Arabidopsis thaliana: one gene and its partners. The protein of the gene in region 1 interacts with the protein of each later gene in a pairwise test. Each region holds a gene or a part of one and is shown in the gene's direction. Other genes may lie near its edges.

Evidence for each region.
Region 2: the proteins of LHW (region 1) and SAC51 interact in a two-hybrid assay, tested with the Arabidopsis thaliana proteins (one large-scale study listed by BioGRID).
Region 3: the proteins of LHW (region 1) and CRC interact in a two-hybrid assay, tested with the Arabidopsis thaliana proteins (one large-scale study listed by BioGRID).

What each region holds. Positions count from the first base shown.
Region 1 is NC_003071.7:11,648,786-11,654,672, forward strand, and holds LHW (transcription factor-like protein), read left to right. Parts: upstream 1-1,573; 5' UTR 1,574-1,944; intron 1,945-2,031; 5' UTR 2,032-2,109; coding exon 2,110-2,204; intron 2,205-2,662; coding exon 2,663-2,942; intron 2,943-3,053; coding exon 3,054-3,113; intron 3,114-3,191; coding exon 3,192-4,217; intron 4,218-4,309; coding exon 4,310-4,411; intron 4,412-4,484; coding exon 4,485-4,598; intron 4,599-4,678; coding exon 4,679-4,804; intron 4,805-4,905; coding exon 4,906-5,055; 3' UTR 5,056-5,358; downstream 5,359-5,887. Other genes in the region: AT2G27229 (Pentatricopeptide repeat (PPR) superfamily protein), read left to right, coding at 398-772. UniProt on the Arabidopsis thaliana protein: Transcription activator that regulates root development; promotes the production of stele cells in roots. Coordinately controls the number of all vascular cell types by regulating the size of the pool of cells from which they arise.
Region 2 is NC_003076.8:25,729,786-25,735,074, reverse strand, and holds SAC51 (transcription factor SAC51), read left to right. Parts: upstream 1-1,761; 5' UTR 1,762-1,927; intron 1,928-2,251; 5' UTR 2,252-2,747; intron 2,748-2,845; 5' UTR 2,846-3,009; intron 3,010-3,095; 5' UTR 3,096-3,138; coding exon 3,139-4,185; 3' UTR 4,186-4,740; downstream 4,741-5,289. Other genes in the region: FKBP12 (FK506-binding protein 12), read left to right, coding at 1-14, 164-265; Phototropic-responsive NPH3 family protein, read right to left, coding at 4,850-5,149, 5,221-5,289.
Region 3 is NC_003070.9:26,006,801-26,010,784, reverse strand, and holds CRC (Plant-specific transcription factor YABBY family protein), read left to right. Parts: upstream 1-1,643; 5' UTR 1,644-1,844; coding exon 1,845-1,946; intron 1,947-2,124; coding exon 2,125-2,244; intron 2,245-2,337; coding exon 2,338-2,446; intron 2,447-2,546; coding exon 2,547-2,595; intron 2,596-2,710; coding exon 2,711-2,786; intron 2,787-2,882; coding exon 2,883-2,945; intron 2,946-3,024; coding exon 3,025-3,051; 3' UTR 3,052-3,435; downstream 3,436-3,984. Other genes in the region: AT1G69170 (Squamosa promoter-binding protein-like (SBP domain) transcription factor family protein), read right to left, coding at 3,744-3,984. UniProt on the Arabidopsis thaliana protein: Transcription factor required for the initiation of nectary development. Also involved in suppressing early radial growth of the gynoecium, in promoting its later elongation and in fusion of its carpels by regulating both cell division and expansion.

The sequences.
Region 1 (5,887 bases):
TAATATGGTTTGGACCTTTTTGCACCCACTAAAATATCAGTATATAACTAAGTTAAATCTTTAAATTAGTAATTACGAATTGCTTGATGTTAAATTAAAGTGTTAATGAGTTTTTCAGAATTTAATTTAACATGATAAATAATAAAATAATCTAAATATTAAAGAGTTTATTAGAAAATAGGCATTTGTCTTGGTTATATATTTATTTTAAGGTATTTCCTTACATGATTTTCGAAAGAGGTACTTTTCTCTTGTGAAAAGTCATCCTTATCCTCCTCTCATTTGCATTATCTTTTACCCAATTGAAGCAATAAGTCGTGTCTGTTTCCTATATTCGATATTTGCATCACCAATTGAAGCAATAAATCGTGTGTGTTCCCTATATTCAATTGAAACAATGGCGATATATGCATCATCTTCTAAATCGCCACTCCTGCAAAGACAACAACTCGGATTTTCAAGAATCCAAGTTTTTATATGGAAAATCACTGAGAGAGAGATCATTGTGAGGGATTTAAACCGGTTTCATCATTTCAAGAATGGACTTGTGGTGATTACTGGTAATTTGAAAAAGACAGGTGAGACGATATTCAAAAACCGGTTTCAACTCATTGTTATTTGTGAACCGATTTATTCTTGGTATAGGAAGACTCTGGGTGGGAAAAGATTCCAACTTTGCTTACGAAGGTTAAGTCGCAACAAAGAAAGCTTCTTTATTTCCGCCATGGACACAGCCTATCGTAGTCATGTGGACAGAACTGAAATTCTCTAAAATCAGAACCGAAATTCCACAAAATCAGAACTAAAGTTCCATAAAATCTATAAATTTTTTCGATTGGGTTCCCTATATATTATCTTAGGGTTTAGTATTGTGTAATTAAAAAGAAAAATTAAGTTTGCTTGAAAAACAAAGAAGAAATCGATTTAATCAGATTTTGCAACTATGTTCGATAAAGAAGAAGAAGAAAGAAGACGATGAAGAAGAAGAGAAGGAAAAAAAGACAGGGACAAAATTGTCCCGATTGAAGCAATAAATCGACACTGTTGTATTCAACTGTGGAAAATACCTATTTTGAAATAACTTTATTTAAAATGCCTATTTTAAATATAAGCTCAATATTAAACACCTTGAACTTATGTGTATTTATTATTTGTGTGTACGGGAAGCAATACCAGAAAATGAAAATCTCTTTTATTTATTGACAATCCATAATCCTACAAATCCTCTAACTTCTAGACTTATGCCGTTATTAAATATTTTAATATATATATATACATATATATTTTTAATAATTATATTTAGGAACGTCTTTTAATTTATCTCCGAGGGTACACTTTTTTTCTTTATCTCTTTTGTTTTTATCTAAAAACAAACTTTTAGGATATTACCTCACGAAAAAAACAATAAATTATTCGTCTAGCACCATCGGAAAAAGACAAAAGACTTCGACTACCCCACTCAGTGGCACAATCCTGTAATTTCTACTAAACATTGATACCCTTTCTCGAATTCATCGTGTTCTTTGTTTTTAATAAGATGGTACTTTTTCCTCATTTTTCAATCTTTTTTTCACCAAGAAGCAGAGAAAAGAAACATTAAAGCAGAGAAAAAACAAAGACAAATAATCTCCATTTGCTTTCTTCTCCATCTTCTTCTAATTTTCTTCAAGTTTTATCAATGGCTGGTGTTACTGGAATCTTAAAGCTTGAAGCTTGGAGCATCTTGTGAAGAAGATTAACTAGTTTCTTGTATTTTTCTTTTCTGGGGTTTTGAGTTTTTTTTTCTCTTCCTTATTACCGGAAGTAATGGCATGTCGGAGTATGATCGCTTTTAGTTTAGATCCTGAAAGAAAACAAAGTGGAGGACTTAGGACAAAACAAGCTGGAAGAGGATCTTGCCGTGGAAGTTAGTCTTTGTTCAAATCCATTTTCCTCTTAAAGAATGTAATAATGGGTTTTTATTGATTGTTGTAGATTTGTTAAAAAGTTTTGTTTTTAGACCTAAAGTTTCGATTTTTTTCTTCTGGGCAGTTTGAAATTGCACTGTTGCAAGTGAAAAAGTTTGTTCTTGTTGGAGCTTAAAGAAGAGAGAAGAGAAAGAGAAAAGCTATGGGAGTTTTACTAAGAGAAGCTTTAAGGTCTATGTGTGTTAATAATCAATGGTCTTATGCTGTTTTCTGGAAAATTGGCTGTCAAAATTCTAGGTACCACTCTTATTCTCCTAATTCTAATAAAGTGTCAAACTTTATTCAGTCAAATATATTCAGTGTTTGTTAGTTTAAAGTTTGAGAATTTTTTGATAAGGGTTTAAAACTCAGATCTCGAGGATGACTAGAATTATTTATCTCTGTTTAATTCTTGGAGTTTTGTGTTTGGTTTGATCTTGTTTGTCTTAAAGAATCTTTCGATTTGTAGTTGTTTTGTCGACAATAACTATATCCTTATTATTTGTTTATGAATTGTCTAAAGAGTTCAAGTTCTTTAACTCTCTTGTCATTTCAATTTTTATTTCTTGTCTTTGTTCGTTTTGTCTTTGTTTAGCCCAAAATCTTTTGTAATCGTCTTTTTGTGGTATTCTAACTTAAACGATTGTTGCATATTTTTGTCATGTGTATTCTAATTTTTTTTTTTTGATGTGTTTTTTTTACTTGTTTTTGTGCAGCTTGTTGATTTGGGAGGAATGTTACAATGAAACCGAATCGAGCTCGAATCCTAGAAGACTTTGTGGACTTGGTGTTGATACACAAGGGAATGAGAAAGTTCAGTTGCTTACAAACCGAATGATGTTGAACAATCGAATCATTTTGGTAGGTGAAGGTCTAGTTGGCCGAGCTGCATTTACTGGACATCATCAATGGATTCTAGCTAACAGTTTTAACCGCGATGTTCATCCACCCGAGGTTATTAATGAGATGCTTCTCCAATTCTCTGCTGGTATTCAGGTTTGATACTTTCTTCATGTTTTGAACATCCTAAGTTAGGCTTCTTTAGTGTATATATATGTTCAAGCTCATAAGAACTGTTTGTGTGTGCTTATTTTGTTTGTTCTTCAGACTGTTGCAGTTTTTCCGGTTGTTCCTCACGGTGTTGTTCAGCTCGGTTCCTCTCTGCCTGTAAGTTCAAGTTACATTGTTATGTGAAGTGAGATTCTTGTTCTTGATTTAACTGTGAATTGTTTTTTGTGTGTTCAGATTATGGAGAACTTGGGGTTTGTGAATGACGTGAAGGGTCTTATCCTGCAGCTCGGATGTGTTCCGGGGGCTCTCTTATCTGAAAACTACAGAACATATGAACCTGCTGCTGATTTTATTGGAGTGCCAGTGTCTCGGATAATACCTTCTCAAGGACATAAGATCCTCCAATCTTCGGCTTTCGTAGCTGAAACTAGCAAACAACATTTCAACTCCACTGGATCATCAGATCATCAAATGGTTGAAGAATCTCCCTGTAATCTTGTGGATGAACATGAAGGAGGATGGCAAAGCACAACAGGATTTCTAACAGCTGGAGAAGTTGCAGTACCTTCAAATCCAGATGCGTGGCTGAATCAAAACTTCTCTTGTATGTCTAATGTGGATGCAGCAGAGCAGCAACAAATCCCATGTGAAGACATCAGTTCGAAACGCTCGCTTGGAAGCGACGACTTGTTTGATATGTTGGGTTTGGATGATAAGAACAAAGGTTGTGACAACAGTTGGGGAGTTTCACAGATGAGAACAGAAGTACTCACTAGAGAGTTATCCGACTTTCGGATCATTCAAGAAATGGACCCTGAGTTCGGTTCTTCGGGGTATGAACTTTCAGGAACAGATCATCTGTTAGATGCCGTGGTCTCGGGTGCTTGCTCCTCCACAAAGCAGATCTCAGACGAAACTTCCGAGTCCTGCAAAACCACCTTGACTAAAGTTAGTAATTCTTCGGTTACCACGCCGTCTCACAGTAGCCCTCAAGGTAGCCAGTTATTTGAGAAGAAACATGGGCAACCATTGGGGCCATCATCGGTCTACGGGTCTCAGATAAGTTCTTGGGTTGAACAAGCGCACAGCTTGAAGCGTGAGGGCAGTCCAAGGATGGTGAACAAGAATGAAACTGCAAAACCGGCTAATAACCGGAAAAGGCTTAAACCAGGAGAGAACCCAAGACCAAGGCCTAAAGATCGCCAAATGATCCAAGATCGTGTCAAAGAGCTGCGTGAAATAATACCAAACGGTGCAAAAGTAAGTGAAAAACTTATCTGTTCTTGGCAAATTAAACAATCCCTAAGAAAGGTTATTACTAACAAAGAGTACATGTGGTTTTTATTTAACAGTGTAGCATTGATGCACTCCTTGAACGTACAATCAAGCACATGCTCTTCTTGCAAAATGTCTCCAAGCATTCTGATAAGCTGAAGCAAACCGGGGAATCCAAGGTATAACATAAAACAATAATATTTTGGTGTCTCTCATGGATTCTTGATCTAACGTTTGTTGTATTGTTATAAGATTATGAAAGAGGACGGTGGAGGAGCAACATGGGCTTTCGAAGTAGGGTCAAAGTCTATGGTGTGTCCAATTGTCGTAGAAGATATAAACCCGCCTCGCATTTTCCAAGTCGAGGTAACATTTCTGCCTAAGGTTCTTAATAAAAAACACTCAAGATCTCGGTTTTGATCGAACGTTTTCTGGTTTTGTAACAGATGTTATGCGAGCAACGAGGATTCTTTCTAGAAATCGCAGATTGGATCAGAAGCTTAGGGTTAACGATCTTGAAGGGAGTCATCGAAACTCGAGTAGACAAGATTTGGGCTCGCTTCACTGTTGAGGTATATTATATAAGTTACACAAGGTTGTTTAACTTGGAAAGATGAGATTGTGTTAGAATGTATCTTATTTAAACTGAAACCGGGTCGATATTGGATTGTAGGCGAGTCGCGACGTGACGAGGATGGAAATATTCATGCAACTAGTGAATATTTTGGAGCAGACAATGAAATGTGGAGGAAACTCTAAGACTATTTTGGATGGTATCAAAGCTACAATGCCTTTACCGGTTACTGGTGGCTGTTCAATGTAATGACACAAATTATTGACCGTACCGGATTGCTCCGGTTTAATAAACCGGGCTGGTTAAAAGCTTGATTCATATAGAGGTTACGAGCGGACCGCTCTCAAGGATTTTAGGCTCGCTATGACTAACTAAAAAGTCAGTCTAAACCAGAGATGATGATTTTTAAGTGTGTTTTTTTTTCTCAACTTTATGTTTTGTACATTAGTTGCGAATTTTCATTTGTGTGGAATTTTTTAATTTTAATTCAGTTTTGGAGTTGTAAAAAATTTAGTTAAATTGTTTAAAATTATTCTCGACCAGTAAGAGTTCAAACAATTCACGGATTTCAAGACCGGTAAAAAGAACCGGTCCATCAACAGCTTTAACAGTACACAACAAAGCTTCACATGTTACAAGTACCTTTATGTTACTTTGATTAGTAACTCTATGTATATAATTAGCTTATTATTAAAAAAAAAAACACAAGAAGCTCTACTTTCAATAAAACACACTCTTTATTAAGAAACGTGAGGCCTATAGAAGAAAAGCTAATAATAGTTAGTTATAATACTTTTGTTAACAGCCTTATAATGTGCTATCATGTGAATTCATAATCTCTAATGGATGTCTTAATCCATTCCTAATATTTACATTTTCTTCATACTACTAATTAGTGGATCAAACTTAGTCCAACATCAAATTCTCAAAACTGCGTTTTTGTTTGTTGTCTCAAAAATGCTTTATTTACACTTTTGAGGTACCTAAACTTTGCTGCAAAAGGTGCATGAACATCTTTGTGTCTTGCTTTAGCCATCTCTCCACTCTATAGATTATGATGGGATAATCGACAGCACATTAT
Region 2 (5,289 bases), on another chromosome or scaffold:
TTGCTCGCTTGCGGGTATGTATACTCTGCTTCTCTCATCATGTTCCTCTTTGCCATCTATGCTTTTATGGCTCTCTGTTGAAGCACTTTTGTCTTTCATGATAGTTTGGGTGTTTCGTTATATGTTTAACATCTTTGGCTTGCGATCTTATCTGCTTCTGCAGTGCTCATCGGATTACGCATATGGCGCTGGTGGATTTCCGGCATGGGGGATCCAGCCAAACTCTGTTCTCGACTTTGAAATCGAAGTACTGAGCGTGCAGTAATGATCTCCCCAGCTCCTAAACTGTGGGTAGATTATTAAACAACCCTTTATGTTTATTGCTTCTGGGATCTTTATGCAACAAAACTTTGTGATGTCATTGCTCTTCTAAAACTCTTGGACAACGTTTTTATCTAAATAAAAGAAAAGACCCGTCTCGTGTTTCAGTTGGAATGTTTGTACTATATTATGATATTATTCCCGTTTTTTTATTTTGATTAAAATGGTTTTGTTTATTCAATCAAAATGCCAATAAAAAGCACAAAAGAATCAAACTAAAACTTCAATCTTAATGACATATCAGACCCAAAGCAAATGGTCTCAACCATAATGAAATTTGAATTGACCACTTCTAATTCAAAACACAGTATAAATTACTGTTCTTAATATCAAATCAAAGGAAGAAAAAAGACTAAAGTTAAAAACTTTTTCAGACAAGATACATAAGTTAACAAAAGAAAGGAAGAAAAAAGAGAGAGACGCGAGAGAAGTCGTGCGGGTAATTAAGCACTTAAAATTCCCGTGCAATTCTTTAATCATCACTTATGCTTCTTTTTTCTTTTTCTTTTCTCCATTTTCATTTTCATTCTTTTTACTTTTCTTTTTCTTTTCACCCACATTCCCCAATCACATAAGTCCTTTTATGAATAATAACTTTTAACATAAATGAAAGTCTACATAATATTTTTAAAAATAAAACAAAAGTATTGAGCTAATTTTGGCGTTGTATAAGCTAGATAGATGCTAAATTGTCAATTTAAATTAAACAATTAAAAAGAGTGGTTAGCTTTTATTCTTTTCCGTCACAATGGGTGTTTGAAACACACACAACACCGCACCTGAACAAATGTACTATTAAAATATAATTAAGGATGAAAAAAAGCTTGAGCACACTTTCACTAACTTAGCTTTCAATAAAATTAAAGAGGGATTATAACCTGAAATAGTATTTATTTAGAAAATAATTAAGGATATAATAAAGCTCGACCACACTTTCACTAACTTAGCTTTTAAAATAAATAAGAGAAAACGTATGAACTTTTACTTTAACGAATTAAGTATATATTAAAAAATTATATTGGTTAGAAAAATATTATTTAATGATAAAGTATAACCTGAAATTATGGACCGTGAGACTTTGTCATCATATATACCATAATTACGTATATACACGTTCGGCCCCCTTGTCCCATTTCTTTCAAGCAAAGCACAAATATAAACATTGCCACCGTTTTTAATTACTAGATTAATTTCCAAGTTACACATATTTTTCCTCTAAATAATTAAAAATTCAAATTGTACAACTTAAATTATGTTACCTTTTGCGTATCTTAGTTTTTTTCTTTTAAAAAAATATAGAATGAAAATTAATTTCGATATATAGAACAAACAAAAAACCGAAAAAATTGAGAATGTGAATTGGTAAAATAAAGTAATGAAAAGGGCAAAAGCGTCATAAAATCTTTTTATAAAGCCTTGTTACTCTTGTTGCCACTCACCTCTTTAGAAATATTTCGTAAAAAAAAATTCTCCGTTTAGACATTATTGTTCGTTGGTCACTTTCATCTCTCTTATCCCTTTGCTTTTCCATTGATTCAGCTCAAAAAAAAACAAAAAAGTCTCATCGTTTTCTCTGGATCTGACCGAAAGATCATTCCTTTCTAAGGTAATCAAAATCCAATTTTTCTCTCTTATAGTCTGTGTCACTGTTCTCTCTGTTTGTGTATCTGGAGACTGTGGTTAAAAACGGTTTGAGTCGTTTGTGAAATGGTAAAGTTCTGTAATTTATGTCTGAATCTAGCTTAGAACATTGTGATTTGTGTATATTCTGAGTTGTAATAGTAAAATGTAGCGTAATTTTGCTGGAATTGATGCTGTGAATACACCCACTTGCTAGACGTTTATAAATCTATGTCCTTTACTGTTTTTGATCTCTGGATTTAGCTCATTTTTGGTGCTGATGAGATTCTTCCTTCGACTTTTTGCACAGATACTAAAGTAGGTTTGAGTGATCAGAATCAATTAGAGTGTGTATAAGAGGAAGAGAAAGAGAAAACAGCATGTGTATTGCCGTATACCGTAAAGTTTTGAGCTTGAATCTGTATTGCCGTGTGATACTGTAGATTGTTTCACCTTTGAAGCAACACCTTCAAGAGTCAAATCCTTTTCTTTCTTATTCATCTTCCCTTCTTTTTCGGTATATTATAAACACTTTTGAAAATGGGATCACAACATTTCTATGTGTACCATTGTGAACAAAGAATCAGCTAGACTAAAAGCTCACTCTCCTTCCACAAACAAAACTTTCCTCCTTTTGGTTTTGGTATCTGTCTACTTTCTTCAATCAAGATTTCCTCAAAGTTATGGTGTGCCAATCACCTGGTAAGACAAGATTTCGAGGATTGAAGTACGAGACCGGAAACGCTAACGAATCAACAATTGTAGTGAGAGTTATTGAATGCTATCAACCGATGGATAATTGCCAGGTTTGTACCAGACAATAATGCTCTTGTTATCATACTTTTAGCTTATATAGTTCTAGTCTTCTAACACTGTGGTTTTGTGATTATTCTTTGTGTTTCAGGCTGAGTACTTCAGACTTCTACTCAAACCAGTCACGTAGTTGGTTGGTGACATTTCGCTGCATTTTTCAATCTGTGATTGTTTTTCGTTCGTCTTTCTTTTACTATTTTCTCGAAAAGGACACAAGAAGTATTGCATTCACTCAGTTGAGCAACTTAACAATCGGTATGCTCTTTTCCCTCTAATTACGCTTGTGATATTACTGACTTTATCTTTCTTGAGCTGATTTTTGCCTCTGTTTTGTCCTGCAGTGTTGTACTTTTTGAAGTTCCCTTGAGCTAAACTGCTAAGAGCATGCCTCTGGATAAGAGGCAACGGGATTTGCCTCTGGGCTTAAGTCCTCAAGCTTGCTTCAAGGATATAGTAGGTCGGTCTGTCCTTCCTAGAATTCCTCTCCCTGAGCTTGGGAAACTATATGCAGCTAAGCTTCAGGCTCGCTGTTTGCAGCCACCACCATTCCAGTCTTTGCTGTGCAGTCATGATAAGGAGTCTTATGGAAAAAGATTCTCACGGTCTGACATGCGGTCTTGGTGCGCTGCTGCTACTACTACTACTACTCCACTTGGAGCATTAGAGTCTTCTCAGAAAAGACTTTTGATATTCGATCAGTCAGGAGACCAGACTCGTCTATTACAATGTCCATTTCCTCTACGGTTTCCATCTCATGCGGCTGCAGAACCAGTGAAACTCTCTGAGTTACAAGGTATAGAGAAAGCTTTCAAAGAAGATGGTGAAGAGTTTCACAAGAGTGATGGAACAGAGTCAGAAATGCATGAAGACACTGAGGAGATCAATGCATTGCTATATTCAGATGATGATTATGATGATGATTGCGAGAGTGATGATGAAGTAATGAGCACTGGTCACTCTCCTTATCCAAATGAAGGAGTTTGCAACAAAAGGGAATTAGAAGAAATCGATGGTCCTTGTAAAAGGCAGAAACTACTGGATAAGGTCAACAACATCAGCGACTTATCATCACTTGTGGGCACTGAGAGCTCCACACAACTCAATGGATCTTCCTTTCTTAAGGACAAAAAGCTCCCTGAATCAAAAACCATATCGACCAAAGAGGACACTGGTTCTGGTCTGAGCAACGAGCAGTCGAAGAAAGACAAGATCCGCACAGCTCTGAAAATACTCGAGAGCGTAGTCCCTGGTGCAAAAGGAAACGAAGCGCTCTTACTTCTGGACGAAGCAATTGATTACCTAAAGTTGCTGAAACGAGACTTAATCTCCACAGAGGTTAAGAACCAAAGCTCCACCACTCACAAGTCACCAATCTTGTTGCTTAAAGAGACAACATGGGGAACAAGAAATCTGCAGACAGATAAGGCGTGAAAGATTCTGACGAGTTAAAACGTGTGAAGTGGGTTTTTGGGTACGTATCCTCTGCACCAGCTTTTTAGCTGTATATAGTGGACTACTTTTAAGTATTATATATGCTACTGCAAATTTCAAAAAGTTAAAGAAGAAAAGAGGTCACTTTCTTCTTCTCTCTGTGTGGAATGAAAAGCCAAAGTCGTCATGGTCATTGATGGACAATGATTATCTTTTTTGGCTGAGTGTGGATGGTGAAATCAAAAGGCAAATATTCAAAGTCTCATCTCAAGCTCGCGTGATCTATGAATCTCCCCTAAGGTAATAAAATATCTCTGACCCACACACACTCTTTTGTCCATATGATGACTAGATGGGTCCATGATTTTTATGAAATATTGATGTCATGTTCATGTAATTAATTTGAGTGTCTGTAATAATGCAAACTATTCCTTTGTCTTTTGCTTCAACCCACATGCTACTGGTATTGTTGTGTCTCTATTGTTGTATTGTTAAATGGTTTTGTAATAAACAAATGGCGTTTTTTGGTTTGTGATAAAAATCGAATCGTTTATGTCACTTATTCCATATTAGAAACCAATAAACATTACAAATTAGGAACAAACAAAAGCTTTTTCTTTTCAAAGAATCAAAATCAAGAAGATACAAAACCATCACTATCACTTCATGAAATTGAGTTCCTCCATCGTCTTGGTTTCCTGGGGGGTGGATGATCAACACCAGCTTGTTCTCCTCCAGAGGATATGTCATGGCTCTCCTGTCCACTCATCTTAGTCAGTTTACTTAGCTTCTTCCAACCGCTGGTCCAAGCCGAAGAAGATGGCGTGTTCTTCACTTTCCCCGTCTTCTCAAACTGTCGTTGCATCACTTCCATCTCGTTCTGAAGCTCGACGTACTTGGTCTTCACCGTCTCTAACTCGAACTTCAACGTGTTAATATCCTTCTTGGCTGCAGCCCATCCTTCCTGCATTCAAAGTAGAGGAATTAGAAAAAAGGAATTTGTGTGAATTTTGATGAGTGTTTTCTCTTACTTGCCTGAAACGATTGTGGTGTTGCTTCGATCAATGTCTTGCGATTTGGGATCATAGGCTGATACGTACCCAT
Region 3 (3,984 bases), on another chromosome or scaffold:
ACTTCTTAATCCATCTTCTCTATAATTAGTATGCCAACAAATATATATGCTTGTTCTGTCTCAAATTTCAACAATAAAGCGTGTATAGCTCCCAAAAAGCTATGTTGATGAGTTATCACTCTTTTTATGGATTGGACTAATAGTTTGTCTCATGTCAAAATGATTATACATAACTCAGAATCCAGCAGTATAGAGAACTTAACTTTTATATATATGTTAACCCTCATAACCTCAAACAGAAAATTTGTAGTGCAGTGTAGAAAACATCCTTAAACATAAAGTAAATCCTTTAACAAAAAAAATAAATATAAGTGGCAAATCAAGAGATTCTGCTTTTGAGTCCAATGTATGTATAGTTGGATGTTCTGAAGAAGATCCATTGTTTTGGTTGTTTCTCTACAGTTAAACGATTTTTATATTTAACTTATTAATGCAATTGAGTGAAAATTTCACGATGAAGAAAAAAGTTGTGAATCATGACAAGTTTTGTCCTCAGTTTTGCAGTGAAATCATTTTGCGTGAAAATTTTATGAGAGAAACAAAAAAAAAAAAAACTGATCAAAAGATCAGGAAAGGACCATTCTTAATTTATAACATGTGGGCAAGTCAAGGCTTGCTGGCATCAAACTTGAATAAATGTAATCATATTCACACCATGTATTGTTTAATATATAATTTTAATATCTTAATTGGTCATCTATTTTTGTCTTTTTGCATCGCATATGTGTCATAATTAATATCTGTACGATGTAGAGGCTAGTGAATATAAAGTGAAAACATAGATATATCGATCTTAAACCAATGGTATCTTACACCATATGTATATGCTTGTTTGAAAATATTTATTCTACGAAAGTATTAATTGGATTGATTGTTTTCACTCTCTTGAGTAATTTTGGATAAGTTAATAGTTATTATTTTTATTACACATGATTAAGGTGTATTGTTAATTATAAATCATATTTATACGAAGACATGGTTGAATAATGTCCAACACAGCTTATTTTAGCAAAAACTAATGTACGAGGAGTGACATTTAGGGTCTTGATATTTTTGAAGCAAAATTAAATACGTCTGCAAGATTTTGCAGAGGGAGGCATGTACTATATCATCTGCAATAGTAGCAACATAGATAAAAGTCATAAACCCCTAGATCCGGTCCCTTTAATTTAATTCATATATATGATTTGACATAAAATTACTTTTGTTAAAAAGTTTGTTTTTACATTAAATTCTTCTATCTTTTTTCTAAATATCAGTTTAATATACATTTGTAATTTTTCTTGCAATCCCTAGCCAGCTTAATGATATCATTTTTTTTCCTTCTTTATATCCAGAGAAATTTTATGCGGAAACGTAGATTAATATCATCGAACTTGTTGATCCAATTTGTTTTATCTTTTAAAACATTTACAGTGATTACAAAATAGAATATATAGCAAGTAAATATCCAACGAAAACACATAATGTCTTTAACAAAAAAAAAGAACGAAAAAAAAAAGAAAACACATAATGTCACCATTAGAAACTCGTGTCTACACCAGAAGTCATTAGTTTAAGATATTCATTTTTTTTTTTTTTGATAAGATGATATTAAATGTTGTTAAAATAAACAATAAAAATGCAATTATGGACTGCATATACACGTCCAACACTTTGACAATCTGTATCGCTCTCTCTCTCTCTCTATATATATATATGTCATGGTCTCACTATGATTGTTCTATAAATACAAGCCTCCTAACTCATAAAATAAGCATAACCCTAACTCTACAAAGTTCTTCTGATTCTTTCTCTCTCTCTCTTTCTTTCAAGAGCGGTTTTCAATCCATTCGCTAAAGACCATGAACCTAGAAGAGAAACCAACCATGACGGCTTCAAGGGCTTCCCCTCAAGCCGAACATCTCTACTACGTCCGGTGTAGCATCTGCAACACCATCCTCGCGGTAAATTATTACCTACATATAAGAAGATATATAAGCATATATATACTTGCATGACCCTATATATGTTGATAATATCACATACATGCTAAGCTATACATATTGTTGTTTATGTTATATATATATATATTTCTTCAAATTTTCGAGCTAATTTGTAAACCGAATCTACACACATATATAGGTTGGGATACCATTGAAGAGAATGCTTGACACGGTAACGGTGAAATGCGGCCATTGTGGTAACCTCTCGTTTCTCACCACAACTCCTCCTCTTCAAGGCCATGTTAGCCTCACCCTTCAGGTATATAACACTTGTGTTATAGTTATACATACGAGTATAATTCTTTTTATACAAAAAACTGATACTAAGCCAATCTTTGTTTTAACTAAGCAGATGCAGAGCTTTGGTGGAAGTGACTATAAGAAGGGAAGCTCTTCTTCTTCCTCTTCCTCCACCTCCAGCGACCAGCCCCCATCTCCCTCACCTCCCTTTGTCGTCAAACGTAATTAAGCTTATTACCATTTCTGACTCCTTTTTCTTCTATAAACTTAATCACTATCTACATATATATGATTATCTGTTGAACATCTTTGGTATTGTAGCTCCTGAGAAGAAGCAGAGGCTCCCATCTGCATACAACCGCTTCATGAGGTTTAACCTTTGACATATACTCTTTAGTTCCAAGTTAATTATGAAATTTAATGCATAAAAAATAAATATAATTTAGTACTCTTCTTCATCTTTTTTTGAAACAAAATATAAAAAGGGATGAGATCCAACGCATCAAAAGTGCCAATCCGGAAATACCACACCGTGAAGCTTTCAGTGCTGCTGCCAAAAATGTAAGACAAGTCTCTTTTTGTTACCAACCATTGTTGTCACCTTTAATATTATTTTTTCACAATTTCGTTTGTGTAAATGAAAAATGTCACAAACAGTGGGCTAAGTACATACCCAACTCTCCTACTTCCATTACTTCCGGAGGCCACAACATGATCCATGTAAGCTATACAAACTAAGTCTGCATAAGGACATATTTATATACATTATATAAAGATTTAAAATGTTTTGTTCAATTAGGGCTTGGGATTCGGTGAGAAGAAGTGAACAAAACTCAGGGGAAAAGAAGCCTAAAAATAACAAACGCATGCACGTGTGCGAGTGGCTGCGTCGTTTTTCTCATCTTGTGTTGTTCTTCTGTGTAATTTTCTTATGTATGTCATGTTGCAGAAAATGATGTTGCCTTAGTTTTTATGACTTTATATTTCTGTCTGTCTTTAGATTTGAAAGTAACGTCACTTGCTATGTCCCTTTGGACGTTTATGTCTGGTCTTTATTTGTCTTAATCCTATCAAAATTTTATATGCGTATTCCTTAATTCCATCTGGGACACTTTTTCTTTTCCCCAATGATTTGCAACTTTCAACATCGTAACTTCGAACTCGAGAATCTCAGATCAGTCCTCAGATGACGTGAGTGTACAGAACAAAACAAAACAAAAGTAAAAATTCACTTTTTCAGCGAATATTCATTACATGTATATATACAAATTGTCTGTAACGCTGTGAAAAGGAAGTAGGCATAGATATCTGAAGCAATTTTCTTCAGAACATTATTGACTGGTGAATAATAACACAACAGTTACAAATTACAATAATACGTGTAACATGATCTGATCCTCTTAATTCCTCTATCTAATCACAAACTAATCAAGCCATGCAGGCTTGTCTTGTCCTTCTGCAGAACAATCTCAAGAAACTCGAACCGGTTTAAAGGAATAAGAATGTTGTAACCTTTTATTAGGAGCCAGGGAAATAAAGCTCATTATATTCCTGCTTCACATCACCAGTGTAATTCCTCTGTTGCTCGATTCTTTGAAGATGTGATGACAGTTGCAGTAGATCAACCGTGGATGTTCCTTTTCCTTTACAAGAACTAGAACCAGCAGAATTGGTCTTGCCAGGATCGATCCACAACGGTTGTTCCATCTGATGATAGTCAGTTGATGATGAGTGATTGAGATTTTGGTTGGGTTGGGTG